4 linked regions of the Oryzias latipes genome follow. The protein of the gene in region 4 binds, or shares a complex with, the protein of the main gene of each other region. Links are inferred from orthologs where the notes say so. Each region holds a gene or a part of one and is shown on either strand. Other genes may lie near its edges.

Region 1 (6,036 bases), on a different chromosome or scaffold from region 4:
AAGATTAGATCAACCCATTCAGTGGCCAACAGAAAGGTCAGAGGTCAGCTTTGAAACACACACTCTGAAGTGTTCTCAGAGCCTTTCTGATGAAGTTCAAACAATTGATTATTTGTGCAGCAAATAACCACTGTTAACACTCAGCTGCTGCTGCGAGTAACAAAGAAATGGCAGCGAGCTAACCTGAAACATGAACATAGCTAGCTTTTCGTTGTACTCCCACTGCTTCATGGCCGTCTCCACGTCTGCAGGCGTGGCTGGTGGAGGAGAGCTGCAGCCCTGACTGGGACACTGTCTGTAAAACTCCGCCACCTTCTGAAGCTGCTCCCAAAGATACTTGGTTATGATCTGAGTCCATTCTGCAGACAAACAAATGAGGAAAGGATGTCAGAAGTCGCCAAAATGAAACATCGATGAAAAATAGGTTTGATTGAAACTGAGTGGAAAGATTTCATACCTATACAAGGATCGATCACATGCCTCTTCTTGACTTTAGTTTCGGTGATAGCTGCATGATATGCACATGTCATCTTGATCATCCATGCTGAGCGCATCACAGGGACTGAGTACTTGGCCAAATATGCAAAAACTTCCTCCTTTTTGCTAAAGATGGGTACCTAGGGGATAAACTTCATCATCAGTAAAACTGATTGAAAAACTGCTGAATAAACATGACCCAAAAAGTGAAAGTGGGCAACAAGTCAAATCATAATTTGATGCCATTTCTAATCATTACAAGTTGATCTCTATGTTTGACATAATCAATCACATATTCAAACTTTAAACTACTGATCTGTTTATGTATTACTGTCATTTTAGGCATGTTTTCTGTAAGACTAAGTATTTACAAATGCAGTACTACCTCCATAAAACATTAAAAGCTACTCAAAAGCTTCACAACAACTAACTAGATCTATAAGTTTGAGAGATTAAACTTTATGAAAAACTAATTGGAAGACACTTTGAAAGCAATTCATCTAACTTATCTGCAGTGAGGGCTACGATTAAAATGAAACAGTATGAATCATCAGCCCAAAGGCCAAAACCAGGAAAGGTCTGCACACAGACTGCTGGCAATAAAGTAGAACTCCATTTAAATTAACAGATACCCCAGGAGAAATGGCTCCATGGGTTTCAAAATAAACCTTTTTGACTGGCTGCACAAATTACATTTAATTGTGTAAAACCCAAATACAGGTTAAGGAGATAGACATGTGGCTGTCCACACAACAGCTGAAATTCACTTTATCTAAATAAAATAAACTATAACAAGATCTGATCAATTATAGCAGCACAAATGCCAAAACTGACCAGCCAAGAAAAAAAAGAAGACAAAATTCACATTTATTTTTGCATTTTTGCAAAACTTTTGTATTGACTTTACCTATAAATAAACCTGGCTTAAATATCCTATATGCTCACAGCTAGCCTACATTGGCCCAGACTGGGACTGTAATAATAAATGTACAGGCCAGCAGAAAACACATCAATTGAGAAATACAGCTTTTTCATAAACAATGGAACAAAATAATGTCTGGTAAATTACAATGATGCAAAATAGAGCAGCCGTTTGACTAGATTTCTGTGTTTGAGTTAGAAGACATCAATGTGATTTTCTTTATTGGACGACATCAAGCTGCTGTTCCATTTATGCTGTTTTTGTCAAAGTTCAGTTTGAGCATCATAGAGATGAATTGTAAGGGTACAAATACTCAAGACACTTTAACATCCGGTACCTGCTACAAATATCATTAATTCTACTAGTTTATAAAAAGTGTGAAAGATATTCTGTTTCTTTTCACTGACAGTTTAAAGACCCACTTCAACCTTTTTTTGATCCATTTTCAAAGCGTTCCCAGAGGTCTCGTAACCCTTGTGCTATCTTAGGCACTTTAACATTGGGAGTTGGGTCATCCAGACCCACTAGACCAGGGGTGGGCAATTCCAGGCCTCGAGGGCCGGTGTTTCTGCATGATTTCCAGATAGTCTTGCCCTACTCATGGCTGATTACCTGCTTCAGGTGTGTCCAGCCAATAATCTTGCCCTACTCGTGGCTGATTACCTGGTTAAGGTGTGTCCAGCCAATCAGAACATGCCAGAGCAGGGTATGCTGGAAAACATGCAGGAATGCGGCCCTCAGTGCCCACCTCTGCACTAGACAGTGCTCTGAACCTTTTTTCTTCAATGATTTGTGATGTTCACTGGTGTCCATGGATTACATGAAATCTTTCCACCTTTATCCACTTTTGTAATGGTAGGGAGAACACGTCAATGTAAAGATCGGGTCATCTGGACCCCATAGGACAGCACAAGGGTTATGCTGTTTTTAGCCAAAATCAAAAACCTGTCTCGTTTTTTAGGACATCGTTTCTGCAGAGCAGCTGGAGTTCATCAGTATTCTCCTCTGAGTTGTGGGCAGGACTGTTGACGTGGAGTGATCACACCCCAATTTCGGTTACTCCTCTGTTTACATGCTCCCCTTTAACTTACAGCTCCTCACACCCCCAACCTAAAATTAGCAGCGATACTAAAATGGCGAGCAACATTGGCGGTATCCAGCCGTACAGTTTTGATCCAGATTTCAGCCCAGACGAGGAAAACAAAGACGTACATGGATCTATTTGCCTGTGAGTGCATGTATCAGAATGGAGCAGAGCAGGGGGCTCATCGTATTTTTCTATGTCCAACTACAATCTCTTTTCAAAAAGCATTTTTTTCTCCTGCTCCTCATTCACAACAATTTAAAAAAGAGAAATGCTCTTTTAGGCTTAATTTTCTTAAAAAATGTCCATCATGACAAAAATGCCACAAGAACCTGTTAAAAATACTATTTTCATCTGAGTGCATCTTTAACAAACTGAAGATTTCCGTACGTGAACTGAGAACAAAAACAGTAAACAGGAAAACAAAGTACACAACAATACTCAGTGATCCCAGGATTCATCCACAGGACTTTTACCTTTTTAGCCAGCTGGGTCAGAGGTTTAGTACCACCTAAATCTGTAAACCAGCTATTGATGGAGCTCTGCGACCTTGCTGTGACGAGCCAGAAATTATCCTTTTGGTTAACCTGCGGTTTACGTTTCCCTGTATCGGGAAAACTGTTGAAGCGCAGCTTCTCTGCGATGATGCTGCTAAAGTTGGAACTGATCTGCAAACACATGAGCACATGCATTAAAAAAAAAAACTAACTGGCATTTAGGACAAAATCTGCCAATAATAATTAATAAATGAATGGTACCTTTGCGGGATTGAAGTTGACATTTTTGGCAGAGCCGTGCTCGTCACTAGACACAGCTGGCTGGTTGTTGAAGCCCTGCTTCACATTGAGGGCAGTCAACTCATCCTGAAACAAAAACACACATGTAGGAGGTCAATACTACAAGATGTGCTAAAGCTCCATTCCTCAGCAATCACTGGCGTTCTGAGCAAGCAGGAAATGTGCTCGACTGGCTGTGCTGACAACACAAAAACTGATCATTCCCCTGAGAATTCAGAAAAAGGTGGGCCGAGAAATAAAGCTTTACCACTGACACCCCAAACTATACCTGCTACATATATAAGAACAAAGGAATGTACCATTATCACACAGGGTAGAGTCGAAATTAAACTACGATAAGGATGCATTAAACATTCCTAAAAAAAATATAATAATAATAATAAAAAGGATAGTTAACAGGTTAACGCCATTTTTGTGGAGCAAAACATTTAAATATGCGAGTCTTTCGGAGATATGAACCCCCTTCTGTTTGACGGAAATACAAACTTCTGTTTGATATTCAGTGGCATAGCTGCTGTTAGCTTAGCTAGCTCTGTTATTTAACGAGGGGTTTGTTTTCCAGTTAAGTGCGGAGCTGCTAATAAGCTGACAGCCGGGAGCTGCTTATTGTTGCTCCAAGGCCCTTCGCTTATACAGCGCTGCTATAAAACGCTAGCTGTGTGTTAGCCCCCTACAGCTTCCCTGTCGAGAGAATTCTCCCCCACCAACAAACACAATTCCAACAAACACAATTCCAATCCAAGAGAGGCTCGAATGAAAGTTGACTGCACCTCTTTTTGCTTTGGATCTTGGGGATAAACGTCCGGAGGACCGAGGCGGGGCCGCTTTAATGGCCGGTGTTCGTAACTTAAGATCCCGAAAGCAGCCATCATCTAAGGGCATCACAGCCAAAGCTTTCCGCCTCCTAAACAGCAGTCTCTGGGCTGAATGTAAGAGCGACACTCGCTTCCGGCTGCCTCTCATTCTGCCACTTCAAAATAAAAGTTTCAGATTGTGCGCCGCTTCAAAGAAAAGCTCTTATTTTGTTCCCTTTCGTTAAGTGTCGTTTAAACCTTTTTTGTCTTTAAAAAACTTTGTTATGAACTAGATACAGGACAATAGGCGAAAGTAAACATAACACGTACTGTACAACCTGCACATCAACAATCATTACAATCTTGTTAAAAAGAATTGAAAAATGTGCCATTCCTTCAAGATCTGCATATTTTACATTTGTTCCACTGTTGTGATTATTTTAAAGTCAAGAATGAAAACATTAAAACAAGATTTTGAAATGGACCATTTATATTTGTGAGTGTGGGATTAAACAATAAATTATAAACAGTTGAATAACAAAAATTACAGTTTTGGGCAAACCATGTATTCAAAATAAAACATGAAATCAACAATACTAATTTGGACGTTTACATTCAATTCTGTGACTATAAATTCTTTCAAATCTGATCCAGTTATGTAGACTACATGCAATACTAAACTAAATTTTAAAAGTGGTCTCCTTACTTGATTAGCTAAACACACGTGTTTTAGGTAAAAATAAGAAATACCCTTTCCCTATTTTAAATCTTTTTTGTCTATCTTTACTGGAAAAATTTGATAAAAAATGTTAAATGAAACTTTTTTTCTTTTTTATTTTTAATACAATATTGAATCACTCAAGATTGGATACCAAATAATCTTTGCACCAGAAGTCAAACAAGAAATTTGATTTCTAATATATCTATTGGTGCATCCTTTCCTCGTAATGTCCACATCTCCACTAAAAGTGTCATCAAATTCAGCACTGGCCTATTTTCTTTGCATTAGACATTTTTAGAAATTGAAGAAAACCTGCAGGGATCACATCAGAAACAACTGCATACTCTAAAAGTGTCACTGGAAAGCTAAAGTTTTAAAGAAATTATCAATATGACAAGAAAACTATTTGTTCAGGTACTGACCCACCAACTGATCAAATGTTGTTCAAGTATTTTGATGGAACTTTTCAACACATATTTGTAGAGTTGAAAACAAAATCAAGGTATATTGTTTTCTTAACAATACAAAATAATAATAATAAATGTAACTGTGTTGAATGAAACGGCCTATGACCAAGCTTTAGTGATGTTACTTCAGTAGAAGTACAAAAACAAATTAACCAAAAATCTATTTAGAAAGCAAAAGTTACTCAGCTAAACGTAATCTATTTAGGTGTGCACTTATACTTAATCTATACTAAAAGTGAGACAGCATACTTTTGGTTTACTTATTATCAACTGTCTACACAGTACATACTGTAAATTTAAAATGTTCCAATTTAGTATGACGTGTTCAATTAGTATACTTCCTGCACTACATGTACATGCTCTTTAGTAAACCTGCTCTAAGTATAGTTAAACTCAGGAATACCTAATAAAAAAAACTTTAAGTAAAAGGGAAATTCCTTCGACAATAGTAATAATTTGACCATATCTGGTTCATAGACTGATATTAAAATTTAAATCTAAATTACCCAAACCCCCTCCTCTGGTTATTAGTGGCAACAAAAAGTATTTTACCAGTAATTTAATCATATAAAGCAAAAAAGTATACTTTTAGATTATTTTTCATCATCTGAAACATATTTTCAAACCCATTGTGGCCACTATCAGTGATTCAACATATTAAAGTTATTTTGATTTTTTTTATGCTGTAACCCTAATGTGAACTTAATTTTATTAACTGGCATTTTGTGTTTGTTTTTTCATTTTTACTGTCATTTGTTTGCAGCAGGGAACTCT
Region 2 (6,133 bases), on a different chromosome or scaffold from region 4:
AGCAATGAGCAACTTGGATGTAAATATGTGGGAATTACATCAGCCTTTATTTTGTTCTGGACACCACTGGTAACACAAATTCATACCATGGTTGAGAGTTTCTCAGGTCTTTGAGCAGCATTCCCTCCTCCTGCGCTTCGAAGCTTTGTGTCCAGGCTAGCGGGCCGGTTTAGTTCCGTCCAAAGAGCAAGTCCAAGGGAGAAGCTTCGAACCGTGCGGCAGCGGCTTTCCGAAGGAGGCTGTGGTCCCAAACTCCAGACCACATAAGGTGGAAATGCTGCTATGTAGTCCTGAGAAGCTGTGTACAATCATCAGGAGAGCACAAACATCACAAAGCCCTCTCCCCTGTCGCCAACACAAAGCTGCTCCTAGCATGTGTCTCTTAGCATCCGGACACACATAGATAGCACTGACGTCATCGCCCCGCCTCCCCTCTGGAAACGCTAAGTCGAATTGAATTATGCGACAATGTTCGCAGGGTGGATGTTAAAATGAAAATGCAATCCCGTCTCTGCATTTTCATTTTAATTATGACACAGAATAAGCAGTTTTAAGTAGAAATGAAAAAGCATTTTGGTGGATTGATTTTTCATTTGAATTTTGAGTCAAAAAAATGCAGCTTAATTTGTAAAATTAAAAAGCATTTCTGGTTTTGATTATGCTACAGAAATTCTTTGCTAGCATCCTCGTCTCCTCAGTATCCGCCCTGCAGCATGAACCGCCGTACCACAATAAGTAAAAAGTTTGTTACTGATGTTCAAACCTGGTAATCGACAAGTTTTAATAAGTTAACCGTCCCAATAGGGATTGTAAAGTGCAGCGCGTTTGTCTTTCTCCTTGCCCCGCCCTTGTAGGACCTGACCAATGACAGAAGAGATCTTTAGTCACATGGTTTTGTTAACAAACAGGATACTCTGCTTGATGCCAGTTTGAATACAGACCAAAAGCTAGATTCAGGACTCGATCCAGGAACAAAACAAGAGAACTCGATCCGGGAAAAATTAACCTCCTCCACCTGGGGCAGGAGCACCCCACCCACCCAGAGAGGACAAAGTACTCCTAAAAGGCTGTATTTTATAAATGTAATAACAGACCTGATTCCACTGTTAACCTTTTTAGCAGCATCTTTTTAGCATCATGGAGTGATGCTGGTGTTGTGCTTAAGGGGCTTTTCCCACTTTTACTGACGTCACAATATGAGGAGCCACTCGATTGGGTGGATTGGGAGCAGCTGGTACTCAGAGAGCAGGTTTTTGAAATGCGTGAACGGAACAAAATACCGCTTTTGAGGTGTTTTTCGTAAAGAATTAAAATTATAATACACTTCAAAGCTCAAAAAGGTTGATTTTTTTGCATGATAAAGAATACAGAGTTACACAAAAAAACATTTTCCGTTTACTTAGAAAAGTTTCGCTTTTTAAAGGATAAGTTAGCCCTGAAAGTAATACCTACGTTACAATAATACTTGAAACTTGTTGATTGCCAGCATAAAGCGGTGCTGAAACACACCACAGTACCAAACCTTCCTGAGCTTTTAGTTAAACACAACTGTATTGGGGTTTGGCTACAAAAATGACCAAAAAATCAATGAAGAAAAACCATGACAATGAAAATTTTGGATAGTATGTTGCATGTTGTGCATGTTTATGCACACAAACACATCCTAGTAATTTCACTATATCTCAATGCCACACATAAATTGGTCACTACACATGAAATTCTTCTTTAGAGGAATAAGAATTGCTGTAAACTTAAAAGTTGAGCCTCACAGTCCAAAATCTCTTAATCATCCAGACAAGATTATAGTGAATTCCTTTAATTTCTCGACCTGACTCAAGTTAATATTAAACTTTTAGGGACAGAATTGTTTAGACTGGTAAATGTAGCACCTCTAAAAAGCTGGAGTGCCTCGTTTTCTGCCTCTATTTTAAATGACAGTTTTGCTAAATCGACAACAGTTCCCCTGTGGCCTGACAGGGTTAGGGGGTCGCTGGGTAACTTTTACTGTTGTGTTGGTGAATCTCAGGGCTAAGCTAACAGCTAGCATGCTAAGGGACTGCCATGACTAACCGAGGCTAAGCTAATGGAGGTGTAGCTCGCCGTGTAGCTCTATCTATTCTCCAGAGGCACGCGCCTCTCTGTCAGGGTCAGTGGCGGTTCTACCCTGAATTACTCCCCGGGCGAGACCCTCCCCAGGCGCCCCCCCCCCCCCCCCCCCCCCCCCCCATGGTCAAAACAGAACTATGTCTTTGTCAACTAACATGTTTTCCGACATGCTCATGTTTTCCGTCTTCAATCCTTTGATTGGCACATTTTTAGTTATGACCTGTTACATTATGTTTTGTCCCCATAGAGTTGCAGTAAATGGTAAATATTCATTTTTAAAACTACCTACAGATTTATGGAAATTCTATTGGCTAAAAATATAACCCAACATTTGTAAAACAAATAAAAAATAAACTTCATATGCTGGCTCAAAATTAACCCCTAAATCCCCAGTTAAATGTCAAAAACACATTGTGAAAACGTTTAGGCTGCCACAAATGATTATTAAATTAATGACCAATCTCAAATTATTTGCCCCATTAGCATCTTATGGCAGCAGCAGCATGCTGTGTAACCATCACAGCTTTTTTAACATTATGAACTAGTATACAACAGCAAAACACAACAAAACCGTTGTGTTACAGCACAGCAGACAGACACATGAATCATAACTAATGTTACAAGTTAAGGCAGAGCAAATTTTTAAGAATAAAATCTAAAAAATCAATAAAAAATGACGCTATTTGCAACATTTGGGCTTGATAGAACGGGCTTGATGCATGTTTTAGAAAAAACATGCATCAAGCTTTGAGGGCTTCCCCTTTTCTTTATCTCTTTTCTCCTCTTCTTCTTTTCTTTTCTTTCTAAATTGGGCACCAGATGGCTTTGACCTTTTCTTCTCCATATTTTAGATGTTTTTGGCGATTGTTTGGCATAAATGTCCTCACGTCACGAAGAAGGCATCAAGTCCGTCGACTGAACCAACTGTCACCTTAGTGACAGCATTGTTTTGTGTTGCCATTTTTTCATTTGGGCATTTCACATAAAATTAACCCAAAAAAGAAGAATATATTTTTTATACCTTTATTAAAATGTAGGTTATAGAATGTCACCTTATGACTGACTTATAAAAAGGTTTTATAAAGTAGATTCAAACCCCCGCCCTTGTCCCCACCTAGCCTCTTAATTTGGAAGCGTCCCACAATTGAACTGATTCCCCGCAGCCCCCCCCCCCCCCTTTCTTCACACATTTTCAGCAGGAGCGCGTGCAGCTACAGCCAGGGGCGCTGATTCGCTACATTACTTTTATTTTTTTTATCAAGCCCGCGACCGTCGCCTCCTCTGAAAGATGAGCCAGCCAGGGTTTGCGCATGCGCAAACGCGGCGGCGCTCCGTGCTCACCCCGCGCCCCTTCCCTTCTCCTTCTTCACACACATTTGTGTCTACTTCTCAAAGACAGGAGAGCGCAGCTGCGGGGCGGCGGCGCGGCCAGGTTCAGGCTGTTACAAACTCACAAACTGTGACATAAGAAAACCAATAGTGGTGCATATAATATTTTACAAGGGCTGAGCTGCCGGTGCCGCCCCCTTCAGTTTTCCGCCCCAGGCCACCGCCCGGACGGCCCGTGCCTAGAACCGCTACTGGTCAGGGTTTTTGAAAAGTCATCTTCAACTATACTGTGACAGAAACGTTTTCCTTCAAAGTAGCACAACACGTCAAGCGTAAGCAGACGTGTTAACGTACGGAGCGTGTAGGTAAACAAGCTAACACTGGCCGGGTAGCCTGTTAGCAGGAGGAGCACTCACATTGCTCTGACTGTCGATGGCCTGGAGCAGCCGGTCCCTTATCTGCTGCGGGGTTGTGGATACCGTGGTCATTGCCTGTTTGATGCGATCCGGATGATGGAGGGAGGAATCCTCCAAAATGAAAACCGGATGACAACGATGACTTCTTGACTGCTTCACGAACACGATATGCACCCGAACCGCATGTTTCCCGGAGCTTGGAAGGTAAAAGGTTCGCTTTCCTCACATGGAGCTGGAAATGTGTGAGCGGGTTTGACCGTTTGTTCCAGTCTGACAACGGGCTCCCACAGCTCACTCCGAGGTGCTGGATCTCTCTTGGCCTCCTGTTGCATGCTGGGATACGATGCCTGCGTCATGACGTAGGCACGCGACAGAGGACACAGAGTTGACAGTTTCTCTCCACAGAGTTTTTTTTATATAACTGAAATGTTGCCTGTTCCTTAAATAAATAAAAATTATATATATCGGTCCTGCACTTAACCAACATGTGTGTGTAAATATACATAGATGAAGGAGCGATAGCTGTGTCCTAGATTTTTTATTTTTCCATATATAACACAGAATCATTTGTTTTATAATTTTGAACCAACCGTCGGGAGGTGGCAGGGGCATATTTTGGAAAATATACAGCAGTTTTGGTAAAATGTTCATTTTGTAGACATTAGATCAGTGATGTAGGAAGCTGCATTCATCTATTAATACTGTCATTTATTTCTTTTGTTATGGAATCATTATTGTTTTGAACTGTTAGTGCTATGTTTGGAAAAATGTTTATACCTAAATATTTAAATGAGTGGACTGATTTAAAATGCATTATTACTGCTGGTGGCCTTTCTCTTTGATTCTCGTTCAGCAGTAAAATGGACGATTTAGATTTATTTATGGTGTAGCTGGATATGTAACCACACTCTTCAATTAATTGCAGACGAGCAGATATAGATGAGTCTAAGTTGGAGAGATGTAAAATAATCTATACCAATCTACCTAGGCTGTGTCCCACCAAAGTGGGGTAGCCTTGACAGGGCACCCATTCTTACCGCCCTCCTTCTCTTCCCCAAACCCTCCTCCTTCAGTGTGTGCGTGTGTGCGCGTGTGTGTGTATGTGACCGGTCTAAGGCCTGGTCTAAGCCACACCACACTGCACCAGGGTCAGCTGCACAGCCCAGTGTGGGCACCTCCACAGCAGGGCCTCAGCCGAGGCTGGTTTCCCCTTGCCGCTTCATCCCAAGACCAGACCTCTACCACACCCATCCATTCATTCATACACAAACTCTCTCCACCCATCCCTGTCCTGAGCAGCCTCTCTCCCATGCACCACAGTCATCCCTCTTGCATTCAGCGCTCTTTTTACACCCTCTGTCCATCCCATTCGCGGTCTTCCTCTCATTCTCACTCCACTCACATCAGATTCGTACACATGTAAAATAATATCAATATAAAACAATATCAATGACAATCTATGTTCTACGTGATTAATCGTAATACCAGAGATGGTTGGATGAGCACGTACTGCTATGGCAAGTGGCTCTATTGCTAGAGTGAACAGCAGAGGTGACAAAGGGCATCCCTGCCGACACCCACGTTTAATTTAATAGGAGCAGAGATATTTTTGTTTGTTAAAATGTCAGCAATTGAGCATAAAGTTCAGCATAAAGATTGCAGAATAAGTTTTTAAATTCAGTATTTATTTCCTTTGGGTGCACAGGGTTGTCCCATTTTTGTTAATTATTGAAGTTATGTTCTTTTGGGCCTCCGTTTGTTTAATTTGCCAGGCTAAGATCTTTCCAGGTTTGTCTCCTTGCTCATAGAGAGTTTGATTGAGGCTGCACGATCTGTTGATTCCTTATTATACTCAGCTCCCAGCATTTCTAATTCTTTTTCAGCTTGCTGATCTTTATTTTTACACACTTTCTCCTCAGCTGTTGTTGTTCTATCTTCTAATTGTATTCTTTTTTGCGCAATTCTCTTGATTTTGATGAAGTAAAGGAAATTATATGCCCTCTTAAAAAAAAGCTTTAAATGCCTACCATCTTACACTGGCTGAAGTTTGAGTAGTGTTCATGGTAAAATATTAATCTATTTTATTCCCTACAAATTCAACAACATGTTCATTCTTAAGCCATTTTCGATGCAGACACCACCTGGGTGGATGCATTTTGAGATTAATATGCAAGTACAAAATGCTACATGGTCCGAGATTGTTATACTGTCAAAAAACATTGTTTTATATTGGATAGTAACTCTGCTGAAATTAAAAAGTAATCTATGTGAGAGTATGAGCC
Region 3 (6,026 bases), on a different chromosome or scaffold from region 4:
ATCGTGGTGACTGAATAAAATGCCATCAGAAAAAGCCTGTATCAGTGAGGTAGGTGCTACAGTCGACAGGCCACGCTCCATGCTTTACTCCATTCCGAAGCATCCACTTGTAGACAACTAGATCTGTGTACGTCTTTGTTTTCCTTGTCTGAACTGGCATCTGACTGGAAACTGTACGGCTGGATTTGTTCCTTTATTGCTCACTGTTTTTGTTGCACTGGAAATGTTAGGTTGGTGATCTGAAGGGCTGTAAGTTAGCGGAAGAGTGTAGACAAACTGATGATGGGGAAATGAGGGCAGGCTTACACCACGCCACAACTTGGTGGCAAATTTCTGATGAACTACTGACACTCGACACTGTCCTAGAAAATGACAGTTTTTATTTTTATTTAGCCTAAAACCGGCATTACCGTAAATTAAAGATCACTGGGAACACTTTACAATAGATCAAAAGATGTTTGGAGTGGGACTTTAATGTTGTTGCCGTATCGTTCAGTCATTAAAGATCTAAGAAAATTTACCTTATAAGTTTTATTTTTACCCCATTTTCATTAACCTTTAAATCAAATGAAGCATAAATGTGATCAAATACATCCTAAGTATCATTTAAGAAATACCCCTGCTCCAGAAGTGACACAGGCGTATATGACATAACAGAAAGTGCAACTAAAGGCAACTTATTTGCATCCAAAGAGTGATCCTCTCTACTAAAGTAGAAATTATGTCAGAGCAACTTCCTGAAAAGCAACACACTTCTGTTTTTGAATGGAAAGGAGGAACCAAATATATAATAAATAGATCATGCTTACATTCCACAGTGGTGAGAAAACAGCAAGTGAACTGACAGGACTAGCAAACAAAGGAGAAACGTTTGCATAAATATGAACATGAGACTTTTATTTGCAGTTTTAAACATACCCAAATGAAAAATGTTTTTTTAGGTTTCTTGCAAAAACAAATACTGACACTACAATGTTTTAATACAGAATTTCAACTATCTAAATTATTTCCCATGTGCAGGAAAAAAAACTGAAAGACCGCCTTTAGATAAGTTAACATTAGAAGACTTCCTGTTCTTGTGAAAACACTGCAATTAGTCAAACAGAGAGCAATCAAACGATTTCTGGTTATAAAAGAGAGAAGAAAAACATACAGCTAAGCTAATTCATCAATTATACTACACATGGCAGCGTCTTTGTCCCATATTTTGTCCCTTTTTGAAGAAGGGATATTTTTCTCCTGGTTTCCTGCAACCATACAGCTGCCCCCCGCTTCCTCAACATCCATAGGTTCCATTTTCAGCCGAGGGGGCTGCCCAGACGAACAGGGGGCAGCAGCTGCTCCGGACGCACCCTTTGGCCCTTCAGAAACGTCTGGAATCTCCATCTGCAGCAGGTCGTCAGGCGCAGAAGCAAGACACCCTTGGATCATCTCCACGACTCTCTCCAGGTGTTTTTGGAATCTCTCCGCCGTCTCCAACCTCTGCCTCTTCTGCACCTCCATCATCACCCTCAGAGTCTCCCTGGCTTGGTGCGGCCTGTACTCGTTGATCAGATGATGCATGTGAACAAACAAAAGCTTTATGTCCTCCATCTTCTCTTCGCGTTTAATATTACCAGGACTTTTGATAAGGATGTCTAAAAGGTCCAGAAAGTTTACGAGAATGGACATGTTCAGCTTCTTGAGCTCCCGTTTGTGGTCAAACTGCATAGGATGCAGCCTCTCGATGCCTTGGCTCTCCAGAGGCCGAATAATAAGGTCGTCGCACTGAAACTGATTGCCAAACATCATGTAGCTGTCTCTGATGGGCGGAGGCGGCTTTGGCACCAGACCTTTGCGAATGTTTTCATCTGTATACTCCTTGATGTACTGCATGGGCGGTGGAGGCAGTGCGCTGACCTGCTGTGGTTCACCCATTTTGCAGACCTAAAAATTATAAAATAAATAGAACTACAAGTTAGAAAGAATCCAAACAACAAATACACAGTCATGCACCTGATAAGATCCCACTGTTGTGGCGAGTTCACGGGTCTCACTTATATGAAGTAAAACAATCTTTAATGACCCCCTCATATGTTCTGGGTGATGGCATCAGCTACCTCTTGCATAAACGCTTTCTCCAGTCAGTAAAGTCACAGTCATGATAGCACTTTGTCAAAACTATGCCTTTTTAATGTGCCAAAATAATAACTTTCAAGAAAAAATATCCTTATTTATTCATTTTCTAAACCCGTTTTTGTCCCTTTCAGGGTCACGGGGCTGCCGGAGCCTATCTCAGCAAAGGCAGGGGACATCATGGACAGTTCGCCAGTCTGTAGCAGAGCCACGTTCACACACCCATGCACACTCACACCTAGGGAGAATTTAGTAACCAATTAACTTATGAAGCTTGTTTTTGGACGGTGGGAGGGAGCTGGAGTCCCTGGAGAAAAACCAGGGGATCACGCAAACGCCACAGAGAAAGGTCCCCCAGTGGTGATTCTGTTTCAGGTCCCCCAGCTGGGACTTGAACTGGGGGCCTTCTTGCTGTGAGGCAAGAGCGACAACCAAGAAGAACATGCATCTGTGGAGCTTAAACATATACATGTTTTTAGGTTAGAGTAGATAAGTATTAAATGCAGATTAACCAACAGACACAGGAACAGATGTACAATGTTGACACTTAGCCTAATATTACTAGTTTTGTATATGCATCCACAAACGTTATAATTATTTTAACACGGTTTACTATAGTTTCTGTTACAGATACTTATTCAATAATACATTGTTTTACAATATATTTTTCAAAAGATTAAAGAAAATGTAGAGGAATTTTTAAGTGAAACATTTTTTTAAAATTGTGAGAAAAGACTTATACAGGTTTCCATAATCAGTTTTACAATACCAAAAATAATTAATCAATAAAGCCATTTCTAAATGCTGTGGAAAATGGCATAAAGATGTGACAGCTTCCATTGCATTATAGTTACCTGTGGGACAATTAAACAGATTTTTGATTGATTCCTAAACTTCTTTACATCCTCATGTTTTTTTAATTGAAACAAATTGTCTGTGCTACTTACCGGTAACTAAAAATCCAAATTATTATAATTCCTTTATCTATAAGAAAACAGTTTTTATTCAATTGAAACATGTTTAAATTTATATTATCTATCACTATCCCCCCTATCAGATTGTACTTGTTAAAGAATATGATTTTTTTCTGTGTGATTTAACACCATTTTTTCAAAATGCTTATTTGTTGTGCACATAACCTTATAATTGTTCTGCTATCAATTTAGCAAATACAACTGAATTAGTAGATTTTATATTCAAAATTAAAAAATAAATAAAAAAAAAACTGCAGAGTTTAAAAAAATGTTTAAAGAAAAGCCATCCTGATGTAAGAAGAGAACAAATGAGGGTCAAAAACAAGTCAAATTGTGGATTTTAGTAAAGAGAAGTGCATACATGCACATTCTATACATTAAAAAAAACACAGCTTTTACAAAATGCATATTTGTTGATGTCTGTTTTCAACACTTTGTATCATTGTTATTGAAGGAAAGAAAACAACATTCAAATCAGAGAAGGATATGTCATATGGTCGGTGCATGTTTTAACTTGAAGATTGCCACGATCAGAGTTTACCGTAGCCAAACGAGTCGTTAACCGCTCCAACCAATAAAAGTATTTTTTCCCACGCGTTTTTTTTAGGATTTTACACGTGCTCACAAGAAGTACAACAACAGATAATGTTCACACATCACATAGCTAAACCTGTTTTCTAAGTAAGAAGGCGGACAAGTCGACAACAGACACACACATGATCATCACGATTCATTTTGAGAACTATGTCAAAGTCAAACCTAACGTAACAAATCTCGAATTATTCCGCCGTAGTGCATTTAGATACCACATAAAAGCCCACGTATATACTAACTAACAGTAAAAGTTATTACAAAAACCTAATTAATAAAACCGCTCCGTTGATGTTTGGCTAACAACAAACGTCGTTTCCTGCATCTGCTGAATAATACAGTCTCTACAGTCAAAGAAACAGGTCTGTAACACGAATAAAAGGGTTACATTTATAACTGATTATTGTACAAACCTGTTTAACGACTCAATTGGTTGAGTTTAGATGAAAATTCTTCTAGCCAGTTAGCTCCTGACTAGCTTCGCTTTATTCATTTCCCGGTTGAGTTTCAGATGCCAGGATTGGACAGTGACCCGGAAACAAACTCGACGTTGATTGGTTGCGTCGACAAGCCTTTAAAGTATTTCATTATTAACCTTATAATTAGTGGGTTTTATTCAAAACTAATCTCTTTCCTGTATTAATTGTTTTAAACTTTTTGTTAGTTTTTGTTTGTTTAATATAGTGAGTTCAGGTTCTGATCCTGGTAGGCCTATAAATCTTAAAATATGTTCTTAAAATAAGCTGCTTAAGAAATCAAACCCAAGCAAAAAAAGTTCAGATCTGTAACCATAAAAAAGGGGGGGGAGGGGGACTCTAATTTTAAAAATGTATCTATCATTTGTTTTTACGCCCTAAATACAGTAGGGCAGGTGAAAGTGTCTAACTTTGAATTTTATGTTTCATTTTCTACTTAGTCAATTAGCAACACCTAATATTCATTCTTTTTCTTTTTTTTACACTTAAATAAAAATGGTCAAACTATTATAAGTAAGCTGACTTCATCTTGACCCTGACACTAAATAAGAATGACATGTAACATTTTATTTTATAAACGTTGTCATAGGCCTAGTGAATATTTAGCAGAGGGCAAAGGTTGTGCTTCGGAGTGTGCAAAACAAAACAAGAACATCGTATTTGAACCAAAATTGAAAAGAAAAATAAGAATCTTTCTAACCCCAAAGAAAACATAGCCTCATGAAAAGTACATCAAAGGTTCCATATTGTATTTGGATACATTTTTCTTAGAAACCAGACTTTTCTCTTTTGCTGTTTTCTGCATTTAGTGATTCATGAAACCTTGACATTCTTAGTGTTTGTAGGATATAACTTATCATGCATTTTACATTTTTAAAAATTGCATTTTTTTCATTTTTAAGTTTTCCTTCAGTAGTACTTTTTTACTACAATTTTGATACAAGCGGAGAGTTTCTTTTAAATGAAGAAAAAAGAAAATTTAAAAATTCCGAAAAAAAACCCCAGCTATGGCTTCTTAGGTATTGATTAACAGTGTTATTTTTGTTTTTAGCTTTTGATTTAATATGAAAATTTAAATTGTTTTCTAAAACATTTTTGTTTAACAACCAAGCAATTCTGACAAAAAGCTTACATTTTTATGCAAAATTTGATCAATAGTACATCAAAGGTTCATGTTAAAAAAAAAACCTTTATTGAGTTTAACACAACATACGTGATGATACGTGTGTGTATTTGTGTGCACATCAGTGTGTGATTGCTTGCACAGAGTGTTGCCACAAGGATGTGGTTTACTGCATGCAACTAACCCACGCCGGAAACTCTTCGGCATCTTCAATGTTTGCATTCTCCCTTTTTTTTCCCCCCTGCAGTCAGAGGCTTTCAGTTACTCCGTCCAATACCACCCAGTGTCTCCAGTGGTGTTATTCTCAACTGCTAACCATGTTTCCTCGGGTGATTTTGAAGGGAACCATGATCAAAAAATCTCAGCAAAAGAAGAGAACGTCACCGTGTAATTACAAAGAGAGATTTTTTGTTTTGGACACACAGGAGCTGAAGTATTCTGAGCGCCGTTCGGGGGTGAGTGCTTGTGTGCTTCATGGAATTGTCAAATTGAGCTTGACTGAACTGACAACTTTTGGAAATGGCACGATCTTGCAGAAGAAGCCCATGCTAAAAGGTTGCATTCAACTGTCCAGTATTAAGTGTGTGGAAATTGTGTGTAGTGACATCCCCATACCATGCCAATACAAGTACCCATTTCAGGTACCAGTCGCAGTTTTTTAACTTAAAAAATAATTTATTTCATTTTTAATTCAAAGGAATTTTGAAGATTTCTGTCTCATATTTTCTTTAAATCACAAATGCTTTG
Region 4 (6,129 bases):
ACCTTGTAGCTCGGTGCATTACAAAAAGACTGACGGGTCAGGGAAGTGCACAAACGGCGCCCTCTGTGTGGTTTCTCACCAGGAAGTGAGATGCCTCTGATGAGCACCATGTGAAAGGGGTCCTGGCTGTAGTCAGGGAGGGGCTCGACCGCCCCGTTCAGCGGTGACGCTCTTTCAAACAAAGACCTCAGAGCGGGGAGCTTTCGAGGCGCCACCACAGAAAAGTGGATTCCTCTCTAAAGAAATATACAACATACATTCAATTAAAAACACCATCACTTCACTCTTTATGCTCTAAATTCTCTTGGGGGGTTAAATAGCTCTGCAGTGTACTAACTAGGATTATGAAGAATAATGTTTAGTCTTTATGTAACAAGTCCGAAAAGTCCTACATACATATTTAATAAACGAGTCTATTTGGCAAATTGTAACATTTATTTTTTATCCTTAGCTTCAGAATTATATTTCTAGAAGCCTAAATGTCCCGCAGTTTCTTTGCACATTTCCCTGTTTACATATTTCATCTTTTTTAATTTGTTAATTAGAAGGGGTTCATCTACTTAAATGATGAATACATTTTTTTTCTAGTCCAAAGAAATCGCTCCGTCTGAGGAAAGTTGCTAACGGAATCAACCGACAGCATTTTAAGACAGTTTCAAAATGAAATAAACCGATTTTATCGATAATGGAAAACGCCATTTGGGTTGAGGCGCAGTAGGTTGATGTGCATCACTGCAGACAACACACATGTGACGACGATCATTCCAGTCCAATGTGTGGAAACACTTTGAAATTACTAAAGTCATGTGACCAAACAGTGTCTAGAATGTTCTAATCTTGTTCCCTTTGGATTCTTTGGATGTGGAAAAACAACAGTCGGCTGAACTTTAGGAAACTCAAATGTGAATGGATTTGCCAATAATTCTTGTTTACTTGTTTGTTTGTACTCATATTTAATTGACACTTGATTATCTTGAATATTGACTAAATTGTTTCAGCAAATCCGCAAACTGAGAGGGCAGCTTGGGTTGTTTCTTTAGTTATTTGCTACTTTCACAACCGTTTTCTTTGCTGTCCACTTTTCTTCCCATTGGTTAATCAGCTTCATGAACTCGTACAAAATAAATTTATTTTACTTTGATTCTTTTTAGTTAAAAACAAAAACAAAAAAAAAACACACACAAAACAACGGAATGAACTGCGTCGCATTTATAAGACAGACCCTGTCAACCCATCGGCTCCTCAGAAAGCTTCAGTAGGAAAGTCGCCTCAACAATATTAGAAAGTTTTGCTTTCACAGCCTCATGGATGTGAAAGTCAGTGTAAAAATATTGTAATAGAATGACAGCAATTGAAATTGCATTGAGATTTTCTTCTTTTTGGTTTGTAGTTGTAAAATATTCTTAAAAGAATGCTGTTCAGACAGACTAAACAATTGGTTTGAATGAGAAGATATTAATTCCTATTCAAAAAAATCTATTTCAAATATAATATATTGTGACAATAATTGGAAAAACTGAAGATTTGAAAACAATTCTGGGGAGGGAAATCTTAGGACATCATCGCTTAGACTAGTTAGTTGGACGGTCAATTTGATGGACGGATTAATTCATTGAAAATTCCCCCTTAAATCTGAAATATTCCCATAATAAAAAAGGAGAAATGCCACAACTCATAGAACTGAACAAAATTAAAAACCACAGTAGAAAAACTCACATCTCTGATGATTTTGGCCAGGCTTTCCGCTGTGCATCCGGTGTAGCTGACGCTCTCCACAGCAGGAAGCAGATACGGAGGAGAATTACACAGAAGCACGCAGACCTTATGTGTTTGACCTCTGCAGTGACACACGCAGACAGAAACAAGAACAATGACTGTTAAAAATCCTTCACAGTATGTTTAGAATACTGTAAAAGTCAACATCAGACATTGGAAGTCTACGTTCTCCCCATTTACCGTGAAAAAAACTTGTTTAGACAAAACTTAAAAAGTAGTCAGTGATGTCTTAAGCAGGGATCTGCAACACGAGGCTCCAGAGCCAAACTGCTCCATTCTGGCTCTTTGGTTGTGATAAATATCGTAGCATTGATTTAAATGTAGTTTCTTAGATTTTTGGCTAAAATGCTCCTATAACAATAAAAAATGAAAACGGCCTTATGTTTCTCCCAGAATGCACACATTTCAAACACTCAGCAAATTACATGTGTTCTTAAAAACATTGTAATCCTTTAAGTATGTTTATTATTGGGATATACTTAAAACAAATTATGTTACGCTGCAAAATAATGTTTAATAACTGCCCAGAGGGGGAAAGAGAAAGACATGTATATACTTTTATACATGGCTCTCAGACCATGATATTTATCTTCAGGTTATATTACTAAGCTTGGAAAAGGGCGATGACACACCAAAGTAGACTTATATAAAACAAAAGAAAAAGCCTTTGTTGATTTACATTGTATAACATTTTCTTTGAAGTATATTTACGGCAGCAGATGTGTCTTTATTTTTTTAAAAGTGTCCACTTTTCTCAGGAGGAAAAAACAAATTCATGTGAATTGAATAAAATGCTATCATTTATTTTTTCCCTATTGTTTTTATTTAAGTCAAAATAGCTTAATTAATATATATATATCAAAAAAAGAAAGCAACAAATACAAAGGAGTTTTGAATTTTTCTAGAGGGTGAAACAAGACTTCGGAGCTGCTGCTGTTTTTGTCAATGGGAAACTGGCCTGAATGGCTTTTTTAGTGTTAAAGGTTGCAGACCCTGGTTTAAACAAAAGTTAGGGAGCTAAAATGTACTTTAACTTTTATTTTAATAAACACAGAACAATGTTTTAAACATCTTAGACGAAATGATACCTTACATTTGCTCCCTCATTTTTTTAAAGTCGTCAAAGAGCTGCAAGGCCACAGAAAGGCCTTCTGCAATCAGGCTGCAGCTTTCTGCTCCACCACCCATGAACCTGCAGGAAAACACCCATCACATCTTTCAAGAAATTCATGGGAGTTTTAGACAAGATCCCTATCTGCTTTTTTAATAAATGTAGCCAAGTTACTGGATGCTGTCGATCCATGAAACAAACTCGTAGGCAGAGCTGGTTGGTGCGTGACACTGAACGTAGGATTCAGGAGCACAGTCCACTGTGTTGAACACCACCAGACCATACTGTGTTCCACCATACTAGGAAGAAAAACAGATGTCACTTATTATTACAAAACGGGACTAAAATAGTTTAAAAAACTGAAATACTAACAAAAACAGAAATTACACTCACGTCTCCACCAAAATCTGTTTCTGCTGGGGGCCCTCCATTAAAATATCTAGAAAAAAAGAAATAAGATATTTACTGTTTTAATGTATGAGCAGCTCACTCTGTAAAGTCTGCACATCTTCTGCTTCTTACTCAATAGCTGGAAGGATGTAGTTTTTTCTCAGTGATTCAAAGTACGGTCCCAGGTTTGCCGTCCCTTCGATGACAAAAACCACATCGGCCACCTGGTTGGAGCCAGGTTTACTGGGCGGCTCCATGTCCACAACCTGGACGTGTGGGAGACACGGGAAAAGGGGAAATAAGGGTGGTATCATGGAGCAAAACACACAAAATACTTTATTTTCCTCTACAGGCGGTACTTGGTGAAATATTAATATATAAACATGTGTGATGATTATTTCAATGAAATTCAAGCTTTGAAATGTCACAATTAATGGATTCTCTAACCATCAGACAGAGTGAGCATCTAAAATGTTTCTCTTCATCACATCTTCATTATGTGTTAACTTGAAATAAAACGTCATGATTTGGCATATTGTAAACAATTTAAAAACGGAGAGCAGGAACAAACAAACAAAGCCGTGTGTGTGTACCGTTTGTTTAAAATGTCTCTCTAGCTTAAAACATGACAACGAATAATCTAACAATTCAACTATGATTATTATTAATTACGCGTTTATGTAACTGAGGCAGTTTATGAAAAGGAAACCACCGGCTGTAAACATTAGCCGGCTTAGCAAGCATGGAAAAAAGACTAAATAAATAATACGACTGGAAAAGCCTTTACTGTAATTCAAGAAGAAATGAGACACAACTAACCTGATAGTGAACACCTATTATTCCTTAAATATGAGATTTACTAAACCGAAATATAGGCAGTTGTTTACAAAAAAAAATTAAACCATAGCACAAAACCGCATATACGTTTGTTTTATTTTACAAGGAAGTGACGCAATGAAAATTCAATGGAGACGCTTCCTCTTCGTTGAATATAATGTGCAGATAGGATGTCTCTGAGCGCACTGCTGCCCCCTAGCGTTGAGTCATTCCTAGTGAAACAGCACTGTGGTAATAAATAAATAAAATATAAATAAATTAATAATAATAATAGTAATAATAATAAAATGAAAATCCCATGTAAAAGAGACCAAATTGCGCTTTATTTTCAATCATTTGGTAACAACGAGGTGTTGCTGAAATAACTGGTAAAAACAATAAAGTTCTTTTTTGGCGTAATAATAAGAGAAGCTATTTGTTAATAGATTTTAAAGTTATTATTCCAGATTTTTATTTTAGGTAATGTGTAAGTCAAACCAGTAAAGTCCTCTATGTTCATTTTCACCATATATCAGTGATAAATGAGATTTTTGAAGTCATAACCATTTTAATGTCTTTTCAACAGCAGGTAACTATGAAGTTCACTATAATGCGAATAAAACCTTTAGATTCAGATTAGCCAGCTACATACATTTAAGCTTCAATTGGACCAATTAATGCTTAGAGTTTTCAGCTCTGAATTCAGTTCAAACCTTATAACCAAATGCATTTCAATAAAGTGGTTACCTTTTGGAATAGTCAGAAGAAATATGTGCTTCTGGATGAGCCTAAAACAATAAAAACATTGGAGGCAGAATGAGCAGAGGACCAACAGGAAGTTCCAAAATTAATTAATTTTGATGTTTTCCAATTAATTAACTGCATTGTGAAATAATAGGTACAATCTGTCTTCAGAATTATGAAAAACAAACAGTTGTTTTTCACATTTGTTGAGGATTTTATTTCAGATGTGAAACAGAGCCGGATGCAGAAAAAATCCAGATGTTGATGATCCACATCTCCAGGAGATGTCAGCAGATCTCCACAGTGCAAAGAGAGAAGACATCAGAATTACAGTGGAGAAGATGCAAGCGTGCATTTGATACTAGCTCTAATGATGTCTGCAAAAGAAAATTCAGATTTTTTGTTTGTTTTTGTTTTTGCATCTTGTTTAAATATGTAAATTTACAGGCCAAACTTGGTGTTCTGCTCCACACGCTTTTGAGCTTTTGTTATACAGATTTTTTCTTTTTTCAAAAGTGTAATTTGATTTTGGTTACTTAACAAAAAAAGGAGTTTATTTACACCAAGCTTGATTAATGTTGTTAAAAAGTGAGCTCAGGCAGACAAGAAACAGGCCTGTAGAAAAATGCCAGACATTTAAGGATAAAACTTATTCCTGCCCATGTGTTTTTGTACCGAGAAAGGTAAAATTTAATGACCTGTTTGTGGTAGAACTTGTGTCTTTAACACATTGATGTAGTTTGTGTGGTCGGTTTAATGGCTTCCGCTCCCTTGTGACAAAAGCCAGTAAGCTGAACGTTCAGCTTAGAGGCTTCAGAGCTCATCAAACTCAAAACCCTCCCACAGACACAATGATCCATATCAATTCAGCCCAAATTCTGAGAAGGAAAACAAGCTGTGCGCCCAAGCAGCTTCGCCTTTTGGGTGTCAAAAAGCAGGGCTGCTTATGGCGGCTTAAGTAAAGTTGATCTGGAGAGGGTTTAAGCCCGTGGCTATCCACGACCTGCAAACATTTAGCTCCCCACGGATCTTTTATCCTGACAGTGAAACATGGCCAAATTAAAGTGGCAGGAAGGATTGCATGCACAGGAAGCTCTTTACTTTGCAGCTCTGATGCTTTTCTTGGAGACATTTTGTGCTTATTGTTGTCTTAAACTTTAGCACACACATGGCAAGCAGTTGCCAAGCAATTACAGAGCGCCGGCTCTCTGGGTGTGCCTTTAGAAAGACACACACTGCTTCCTTTTTTCCCCGTTGTTGGTCAGAAATCAATAATCTGAATGCAGAAATGT

The links. Proteins that work in one complex are often made in the same cells at the same time.
Region 1: med25 (region 4) and med12 share a complex: the UniProt entries of both Homo sapiens proteins name them as parts of the mediator complex. The link is inferred for Oryzias latipes from reciprocal best matches to the Homo sapiens genes MED25 and MED12.
Region 2: med25 (region 4) and mediator of RNA polymerase II transcription subunit 26 share a complex: the UniProt entries of both Homo sapiens proteins name them as parts of the mediator complex. The link is inferred for Oryzias latipes from reciprocal best matches to the Homo sapiens genes MED25 and MED26.
Region 3: med25 (region 4) and med7 share a complex: the UniProt entries of both Homo sapiens proteins name them as parts of the mediator complex. The link is inferred for Oryzias latipes from reciprocal best matches to the Homo sapiens genes MED25 and MED7.

Annotation. Positions count from the first base shown.
Region 1 is NC_019868.2:8,240,935-8,246,970, reverse strand, and holds the start of med12 (mediator of RNA polymerase II transcription subunit 12), read right to left. Parts: upstream 4,210-6,036; 5' UTR 4,153-4,209; coding exon 4,051-4,152; intron 3,347-4,050; coding exon 3,242-3,346; intron 3,152-3,241; coding exon 2,960-3,151; intron 618-2,959; coding exon 458-617; intron 360-457; coding exon 184-359; intron 1-183. UniProt on the Homo sapiens protein: Component of the Mediator complex, a coactivator involved in the regulated transcription of nearly all RNA polymerase II-dependent genes.
Region 2 is NC_019875.2:6,541,963-6,548,095, reverse strand, and holds the start of mediator of RNA polymerase II transcription subunit 26, read right to left. Parts: upstream 4,210-6,133; 5' UTR 3,924-4,209; coding exon 3,852-3,923; intron 1-3,851. UniProt on the Homo sapiens protein: Component of the Mediator complex, a coactivator involved in the regulated transcription of nearly all RNA polymerase II-dependent genes.
Region 3 is NC_019868.2:21,184,497-21,190,522, forward strand, and holds med7 (mediator of RNA polymerase II transcription subunit 7), read right to left. Parts: upstream 4,210-6,026; 5' UTR 4,094-4,209; intron 1,927-4,093; 5' UTR 1,918-1,926; coding exon 1,156-1,917; 3' UTR 877-1,155; downstream 1-876. Other genes in the region: itk (tyrosine-protein kinase ITK/TSK), read left to right, coding at 5,597-5,734, 5,816-5,920. UniProt on the Homo sapiens protein: Component of the Mediator complex, a coactivator involved in the regulated transcription of nearly all RNA polymerase II-dependent genes.
Region 4 is NC_019866.2:3,604,104-3,610,232, forward strand, and holds the start of med25 (mediator of RNA polymerase II transcription subunit 25), read right to left. Parts: upstream 4,243-6,129; 5' UTR 4,097-4,242; intron 3,544-4,096; 5' UTR 3,535-3,543; coding exon 3,410-3,534; intron 3,327-3,409; coding exon 3,281-3,326; intron 3,187-3,280; coding exon 3,062-3,186; intron 2,969-3,061; coding exon 2,870-2,968; intron 1,838-2,869; coding exon 1,717-1,837; intron 237-1,716; coding exon 80-236; intron 1-79. UniProt on the Homo sapiens protein: Component of the Mediator complex, a coactivator involved in the regulated transcription of nearly all RNA polymerase II-dependent genes.